Callithrix jacchus: one gene and its partner. The main gene of each other region encodes a partner of the protein of the gene in region 2 in a complex. Links are inferred from orthologs where the notes say so. Each region holds a gene or a part of one and is shown on either strand. Other genes may lie near its edges.

Evidence for each region.
Region 1: the proteins of CFTR (region 2) and YWHAQ are in contact, whole or in part, in a crystal structure (PDB 7QI1), measured with the Homo sapiens proteins. The link is inferred for Callithrix jacchus from reciprocal best matches to the Homo sapiens genes CFTR and YWHAQ. Residues at the interface, in NP_000483.3 of Homo sapiens: Arg764, Arg765, Arg766, Gln767, Ser768, Val769, Leu770, Asn771, Leu772, Met773, Thr774; in NP_006817.1 of Homo sapiens: Asn38, Arg41, Asn42, Ser45, Val46, Lys49, Arg56, Arg60, Glu113, Phe117, Lys120, Arg127, Tyr128, Glu131, His164, Pro165, Ile166, Gly169, Leu172, Asn173, Val176, Glu180, Ile217, Leu220, Asn224, Leu227, Trp228.

The regions. Positions count from the first base shown.
Region 1 is NC_133515.1:105,390,336-105,394,841, reverse strand, and holds part of YWHAQ (14-3-3 protein theta), read right to left. Parts: intron 4,355-4,506; coding exon 4,231-4,354; intron 897-4,230; coding exon 733-896; intron 73-732; coding exon 1-72. UniProt on the Homo sapiens protein: Adapter protein implicated in the regulation of a large spectrum of both general and specialized signaling pathways. Binds to a large number of partners, usually by recognition of a phosphoserine or phosphothreonine motif.
Region 2 is NC_133512.1:88,177,141-88,181,646, forward strand, and holds part of CFTR (cystic fibrosis transmembrane conductance regulator), read left to right. Parts: intron 1-1,632; coding exon 1,633-1,719; intron 1,720-3,220; coding exon 3,221-3,944; intron 3,945-4,506. UniProt on the Homo sapiens protein: Epithelial ion channel that plays an important role in the regulation of epithelial ion and water transport and fluid homeostasis. Mediates the transport of chloride ions across the cell membrane.

The DNA.
Region 1 (4,506 bases), on a different chromosome or scaffold from region 2:
CATGATTAGAGTGCTGTCTTTGTATGAGTCTTCATTCAGTGTATCAAGTTCAGCAATGGCCTCATCGAAAGCCTGATAAATATTAATATCCATGGTAAAATATGTGCATTGACAAAAACTGGTTATTCTACAATTACAAACCATTTTGTAAAAATAGGTGAACACCTATCTTATGTTCTAATATCAACAAACTCAACGGAACCATTCTCTCACACTCTCAGTTTAAGAACTTAAGAGTATGACTGCACTTTTATAAAACTATACATTTAAGTAAACAAGCATGTCTTCATTCTTTCACAGGACAAACAGAACAGCAGCAACGATTAATATACTTCTTTCCAATAAGAAGTAGTATTTATCTGTACAGGCTCCTCTTCACGCTCTCATTTTGAGCCACTTTGAGGAATGCAGCTAATGCACAGCTACTCTAGTGACCAAACCTGGCAGGCATTACTTTCCAATCTTTTATGTTTCCTTCTTAACATCATTTATCCTTCTTTGATTATTCTGCTCAGTATGCTCTGTAGACAGACATAACTGCTTATAATCATAGTTAGTGTAGAATAAGGTGTCAGGGGCAGAAGTTACTGATCTTGATGGTAAGAAAGAGATTTCAAAATAAATACAGTAGAAATCATCCCTTGGTAGCCAAGTAAAATACCAATAAATTAACATACCTGGTATCTCAAATAACTGTAGCTAAAGTGGGTATTTCCTGGACACACATCTTACCGTTTTAGCCAGCGTGCAGGCAAGCTCTGGGTTATTAAGAATCTCATAGTAAAATACAGAAAAGTTAAGAGCAAGCCCCAGGCGTATTGGGTGTGTGGGTTGCATTTCCTTCTTGCTTATATCAAATGCCTCTTGGTAAGCCCCTTGGGAATTATCTATCGTTTCTGTGAAGAGAAAAAAATTAAAAGTGCAATACTGACAATAATCATCCAGTACAAAGTATATTAACAACCTGAACATACGCTATGAGCTCTTTGGTAGAACCAAGACTTTTCTCTGTATGGGTCTTTTAAAATCACGGTAGCTAACAAAAAAACATTATTGTGGCTGGGTGCCATGGCTCACGACCATAATCCCAGCACTGTGGGAGGCTGAGGTGGACAGATCACCTGAGATCAGGAGTTCGAGACCAGCCTGGCAAGCATGGCAAAACCCCATCTCTACTAAAAATACAAAAATTAGTCAGGCATGATGGGCGGGCACCTGTAATCCCAGCTACTTAGCAGGCTCAGGCATGAGAATCACTTGAATGTGGGAGGCCAAGAATATGCCCCTGCACTCCAGCCTGGGCGACAGAAAAACGCTCTGTCTTTAAAAAAAAAAAAAAAAATTATGTACTGGGTATTTGAGAACTAGTTTATGGCCAGGTGTAGTGACTCATGCCTGTAACCCTGGGGCGGGATCAACTGAACCCAAAAGTTCAAGACCAGCTTGGGCAACATAGGAAGGAAGACCTTATCCCTGTTCTCTATGAAAAATTAAAAAGAAGAAGAAGAAAAAAAAGCTAGGCATGGTGGTGCATGCCTGTAGTTCCAGCTACTTGGGAGGCTGAGGTGGGAGGATCCCTTAAGCCCACAAGGTCGAAGCTGCAGTGAGCCAAGATCATGCTGCTGCACTCCCAACCTGAGTAACAGAGTTTGTCTCAAACAAACAAACAACCAGTTCAGAATGTTGCTTACATATAATCAGCTTAATTTTTTAAAAATCATGAGATATTATAGTAAATCGGATTTTTTCCATCCTCAGGCTACAAGCTACTTTATTCTTTTATATCTTTTAATTCTATTACTTGGAAATGTAGCAATTAAAAATAATTTGACTGGGCCAGGCACAGTGGCTCACACCTGTAATCCCAGCAGTTTGGGAGGCCGAAGCGGGCGGATCACCTGAGGTCAGTAGTTTGAGACCAGCCTGACCAATATGGAGAAACCTTGTCTCTACTAGTAATACAAAAATTAGCTGGGTTTGGTGGTGCATGCCTGTAATCCCAGCCACTTGGAAGGCAGAGGCACCAGAATTGCTTGAACCTGGGAGGTGGAGGTTACAGTGAGTCGAGATCGAACCATTGTACTCCAGCCTAAGCAACAAAAGCAAAACTCCATCTCAATAATAATAATAATTTGACTGGAATACACTTCCCCTAAATAATATAAAGTTTACAAAGATCGTCACCACCAAAATCTCTATTTTTCTAATTGGAGAAATACTGACTCTTAGTATCAAGATGCATTATTTGAAAGGCAATATAAAAGTTTCAATACACAGGACAAAATCTGCTCCAACCCGAGTATGATTACTGGCCTAATCAAAATGTTACTCTCCCTTCAAAAAATTTTCAGTTATTACCAACACTAATCTGATTATACCCATATTTTGAAAAGGGCAGTTTTCTGTATGAGGGCACTGGCCTATAACAGCTTTAGAGATACTGACGTAAGAGAATTAAGCTATCCCTTTATGACCTGAATATGTGCGTTTTCCTTCCTCTGAAATGGCACATTTATTGATCTAATCCTGAATGGTATAGACTGCATGCAAGCATAATAATAATAATTATTATTATTTGCAGCCTGGCAAATTAGGAAGCACTAGAATAGTAGTAAGTAAAGTGTCTCAGCAGTTAGGCTATAAAGACAGCCTATCTACAAATCCCAGACTATGAGAATGTACATGGGACTACACGTGATACCTGAAAGTGCCAATGAGCTCCTAAAAGTTAAATCAGGTTAAAGCTGCGGCTATGTCTCAATCTCCCAAAGACTTCTCTTTGGCTTCCTGATACTTAAATGTTCAGTTCCGTGCCAGTATCATGTCCAATTCTGCTTATCTTCATGGCAATAGAAATTATACATCAGTAACAGAATAAGTTTAGTATACAGATTTTGTTACAGCAAGGTACAACAGTTTCTCAAGGTACAACTTGTCTTTATATATTCAGTTACACTGATATTTAGGATGGCAAAAAACAAAATAACAAACTTTCTGGAAAAAATAAGGAATTAAGTGATACTTCTACTACCTAGAACTTGATAAATCTGGTAGCAAGCACATGCACAGAATTTAATAGGATCTTATACTCTGCTACCAGCATCCCAGGAGACACTCACTGCAAATAAATTCACTTCACTTTTTTATTATCAAGTTAGGCAATTTGATCACTTTTTCCCATATCCATGTTTTTTTATGATAGTCTAGGTAAAAACAAAATAGACATTTAATACTGAAATCTATTTTTATGACTACTACTTGATTAATCATCAATTCCTGTGTATTCAACTTTCTCAAGTAAAACCTAACCATATGGGTCATTCAAATTTACTGTGAAGCAATAAACCAGCAATATACCAGCAATAATATACCAGCAATAACATATTCATCTCACCTCTCCTCCTCAGAAATTTGATTACATGTAATTAGCAGTCAATGTTATGACCCCTTAAAATAGATGATAATGAATTAATATGACAAACAGAAAAGGCACAACATCCTGATTCCATGTTCTATGAGTAATTTCAGTTATCTGCATTTTAAGGCATAATGACAAAAAGGCCATGTGAAATGCAGAATGACTCATAAAGTTTGCGCAAAAATCTCTGGAGCTAAAAACGAAACCAAACTGGCAGGATAAAGTAAATTCTGCCATTTTTCTAGACCTTTGAGTTGCACATCAAATCTAGGGCTGATCACTCCAGACTTCTTTAGCCTGCCTGTGAGGTTCACAACAATTTTCCCAGCTCTGTGATCATCAATGATTTCAAATTTGCCAATGTAACCATGCTTCATCATCACAATGAGAAACCAGATGATGACTTTGGAGCATGGCCTAATAAGCACCTGGTGTTTGCCTCTTTTCGGCATCGTTGATGCTCGAGAGCATCAGCCAGGACATTTATGTGGACCACTGTGGTGGCGCGGAAAGATGGTGGAAAGAGCACAGTGAACCAAAATTCTAAAGCATGAAAGATTATGCCTGTTTTAAGTAATACCATGTGCAATTATAACTAAAGTTCATAGATGAGTCTTTCTTTTAAAGGGCACATGATGTAAATTTATGACCCAATTTTCATTTTTGAGAATGTAAGATAATACTAATTTTCTTGATGTATGTTCAATTATTTTTACATCACAAAGAGCCTGGAGGCTACATATATTGTCACAGTGACCTGTTTGTCCCCTTTTTTTGTACTTTAGTTTTGCCCATATAACAAATATACTTACGTTTTCGATCATCACCACATGCAACTTCAGCAAGGTACCGGAAGTAATCACCCTTCATTTTCAGATAGAAGACCTTACTCTCTGGATTAGTTGCATTGGCTATTAAGTATTTATCCAGCAACTCCTGAAATAAATAAGACACGGGAACATTAGGCACTGAACTTCTGCCTGCTGCACATTATCATTAAATGATCAAACTTCTGCTTGTCGGGCATTTCAATCATTAACTACTACAGTAATACTATACCATATCAGCCTGGACTTGAAGCATGTTCT
Region 2 (4,506 bases):
AGGCTGTTAGATGTTAACTTGATAAAAGCAAGTGGAGTCACAATTGAACCGTATCTTTTTGATTCTTTCCATTAAACCGTGCTTTAATCTTAGAATTACACTGTAAAGTAATAAATCAATAGATATGGATAACTCACAGACAAGATAATTGTTTCTAAATAAATGGAAAATGATTATTTTTATCTGTGAGCCAAGGTAAGACCTATTCTAAGCATTCCATTAATTTAGAGAAGGTAAAGTATATGGCTTCTAGTCATCCAACATAGAATTGAGTTTGTGTTATCAGTTTAGATTTGGTTTTGCTGTAAGGAGCATACCCTTTAAGGAACTACTAAAAATAATTGTCTATTCATATTCTCATCAGAATGTGTAATGTGTTGTCCATGTTGGATGATGAATTTATTATTTCTGATTTCATAAGGAACTGGTCATAGATGTGAGGGAGAGAATTAAGAACTGAGTGTGGGGGGAAAAAACCTGTGTACATTTTGATGGGATCCATTACCTAGCTCTTGCATGCTGTTTTCAAAAATAAGTTACACATCGAAAATTGCTTTAGACTTTATTTTAAAATTTTGTCATTGGTTTTTCAAAAAAATTTTAAATTGGTTTTAAAAATGTCTTAATTGTGTGCTGGTTGAACACAATTTTCTACAGAAGTACCAATAATTACATGTATAAACACAGAGTCCTATGTACATGAGATATAAGTAAAGTTACAATCACACTTGAAAAATTTAAGTGTTATGAAGAAATTATCCCATTTCTATTAATATGGAAACTGTGTCTTCATCTTTATTATGGTTCTAAGATCAATGAAATGTAGATTTTACTTGCTTATAGTTTCATATTTTACTAGCTTATAGTTTCATATATTTTACTATTATAATAGTAAAATATAAATAGTAAAATATTATGGGTATACCTTTTGTTGTGAAGTACTCACACTTACTTGGAACTTTTACGAATATGATACAGAGACTGAAACCACAGGAACAAATTGCGATATTGATTATACAGTTGTGGCAGCACTGCTTTCAATTTGTTGATAGCAGTTAACACTTAGAAAAACATTTTAAAAATAATTTCACACAAATGCTGCAATTTATTAGCTATCTCTGACATTTTACAGTTTGAAATAGTCTACTTTCTTCTTGGTATCCTCACCTAAATGTAAGATCTTTGAAGGCAGGAACTGTATCATTTTTTGCCATTGTATTTTGAGCACATAGCATGGTACTGGCCTCTAAATAGATACTATTGATAAAAGGTTTTCTTTTTTAAGGTCATATTTTAAAGTGTATGCTATGGTACAATTCAGTTTGTAACTTTTGCTAGTTTATTCCACTTACATCTAACAAAAGCATGTCAGCAGTTCTTGGAATGTTGTGAAAAGTGATAAAAATCTTTTCAACTTATTCCTTTATTTCTCATTTAAATTAATCTACCCTAGTAAAAAGACATGTATAAAAGTGCTACTTCTGCACCAGTTTTGAGAATAGTGTTATTTCAGTGAATGGATGTGGTGACCATATTGTAATGCATGTAGTGAACTGTTTAAGGAAAATCATCTACACTAAAAGATACAGGAAATAGTGAGGAAATGTAATTTAATTTCCATTTTCCTTTTAGAGCTGTATACAAAGATGCTGATTTGTATTTATTAGACTCTCCTTTTGGATACCTAGATGTTTTAACAGAAAAAGAAATATTTGAAAGGTATGTTTTTTGAATAACTTACTTACAATGCTCATGCTAAAATACAAGAAAGAAAGACTGTACCATCATACACTACATTTTACCTCTTAAGAAATATGTTCACCCTTGTTGGTATTAACTCAAGCCTGATCTTCCCTACCTGGCCAAGATTCAAGATCACTTCCATTAAACCCTTTTCTGTCCATTTCATGCTAAACCAATTTTTCCCATTGCTATACTGTTATAGCAATTGCCATCTGTGTAGTTTTTGCAGTATTATTGTCTTGTGACATATATTACTTTAATTGATTATTATGCTTAACATTTTCATTTACTTTTTTGTGTTAGTATTTTATTCTGTCTTCTCCTTAAGTAGTACACTTCTTAAGAAAATGCCTATGCCAAATGTTTTTGCTAGTTTTGCTACTGGTTTAATGTAGGTGAATGCTTAGACTACTCATCTACCTCAGTACTTCTTCGGGGACCTCCTTCTCAGTCACACAGAGCTCAGAACTTATATTTCCTTGGAACTACCGTTAGGGTCCAATATACATGATATTCCCTAGACAGACAGTTAGTTATATGACCTGACTTCAAAATTTTAAAATGATTCCATGGACTGTAAGGTAGTCTATTAGGAGAACAGTTATTATGCTCTTCTAGAAATAAAGACTTTAAGCTATAAATATGGATATGTGTATAAAATGGCTGGATTATGCCTAGAAGTACTTTTCTTAAAATTTAGTTAAATTTGATATCCAAGATACTATTTTTACAACCCTGTGACTGTGATAAGTAACTTCTATATTAATATAAACCTTGCTGCATTTGTATTGTTGTGTTAGTGTGTTACGGAATAATCTAGAATGATGTATCTTTCTATATGATATATAATATTTTAATGCCTAAAAAACTGATATTTCTTAGATCATTCTAGTCTGGATTTACTTCTAGAATAAATGAAAATTTTATTAGAAGAGAGTCAAATTAATTATCAAATTCTCAGTTATTGTTGCTGTTTTATTTTTAGTGAAACAGATTAGTTTTAATGTAAGCACTTGAGAAATAAATTGGTGGTCAACCTAAAATGTAAAAAAAAGAAAGAAATTAATAGAAAATTTAAAGAACAATAAGACTCTGACATTTAAAAGACATGGAAGTACAGCTCTCTAGGGACCTTGAAGATCATCTAATACTTTCCTCATTTTCTAGATAAATAAACTGAGACCCAGAGGATAAATGATTTGCTCACAGCCAAATATCTGCTTAATATAGGAAATTTTATTTCATTCTCAGTCTGTTAACATGCAACTTTTCTTTAATACAGCATGATATTTCATGCTATCAGAATTCACAAGGTACTAATTTAATTACTACAGGGTACTTATAGAATCATTTAAAATATAATAAAATTGTATAATACAGATTATATGCAATAAAACAATAAAATGCTAAAATGCAAGACATTATTGTAATAAAGTATTTATAAAATTGATATTTATATCTTTTTATATTCTTAAAGCTGTGTCTGTAAACTGATGGCTAACAAAACTAGGATTCTGGTCACTTCCAAAATGGAACATTTAAAGAAAGCTGACAAAATACTAATTTTACATGAAGGTAGCAGCTATTTTTATGGGACATTTTCAGAACTCCAAAATCTACGGCCAGACTTTAGCTCAAAACTCATGGGATATGATTCTTTTGACCAATTTAGTTCAGAAAGAAGAAATTCAATCCTCACTGAGACCTTACGCCGTTTCTCTTTAGAAGGAGATGCTCCTGTCTCCTGGACAGAAACAAAAAAACAATCTTTTAAACAGACTGGAGAGTTTGGGGAGAAAAGAAAGAATTCTATTCTCAATTCCATTAACTCTATACGAAAATTTTCCATTGTACAAAAGACTCCCTTACAAATGAATGGCATCGAAGAGGATTCTGATGAGCCTTTAGAGAGAAGGCTCTCCTTAGTTCCAGATTCTGAGCAGGGAGAAGCAATACTACCTCGCATCAGCGTGATCAACACTGGCCCCGCACTTCAGGTACGAAGGAGACAGTCTGTTCTGAACATGATGACACACTCAGTTAACCAAGGTCAGAGCATTCACCGAAAGACAACAGCATCCACACGAAAAGTGTCACTGGCCCCTCAGGCAAACCTGACTGAGCTGGATATATATTCAAGAAGGTTATCTCAAGAAACTGGCTTGGAAATAAGTGAAGAAATTAATGAAGAAGACTTAAAGGTCAGTATAAATTGCTTGCGGGTACTTCACCCCCCAGAGTGCAGTTGAGTAGAATGCAATATGTAGCATGTAACAAAATTTACTCAAATTATGAGATTAGGATAAGGTTTGTCTTAAAACTCAGAAAGTATGAAGTTTATTAATTATGCAAGCAACTTTAAAATGTAAAATAACAAATAATTTCTTTTTGCAATGGACATATCTCTTCCCATGAAATGGGAAAGGATTTAGTTTGGAGTCCTTTACAAAGCCAGTGATAATCGTGACTATAAGTTAGAAAGCACCTGCTTTATTACCATCTTGAACTCTCTGTGGAAAGAGGTGCAGTTTAAATAACTCTGTAAACAAATAGTAGCTTTCATTATTTAGAGCTCGCAAAATAATTTGTATGGAAGTAGTTTATATAAGGTATATAAACATTTAGCCTCTTAATAGGACTAACTCATATTCTGGTTTATATATCAGTCTTGCCTGAATTTAGCTAGTGTGGGCTTTTTTTATCTTGTAAGTTTGCTTTATACATTGGGTTTCTGAAAAGCTTTCTTTTAAAAAATGTATATGA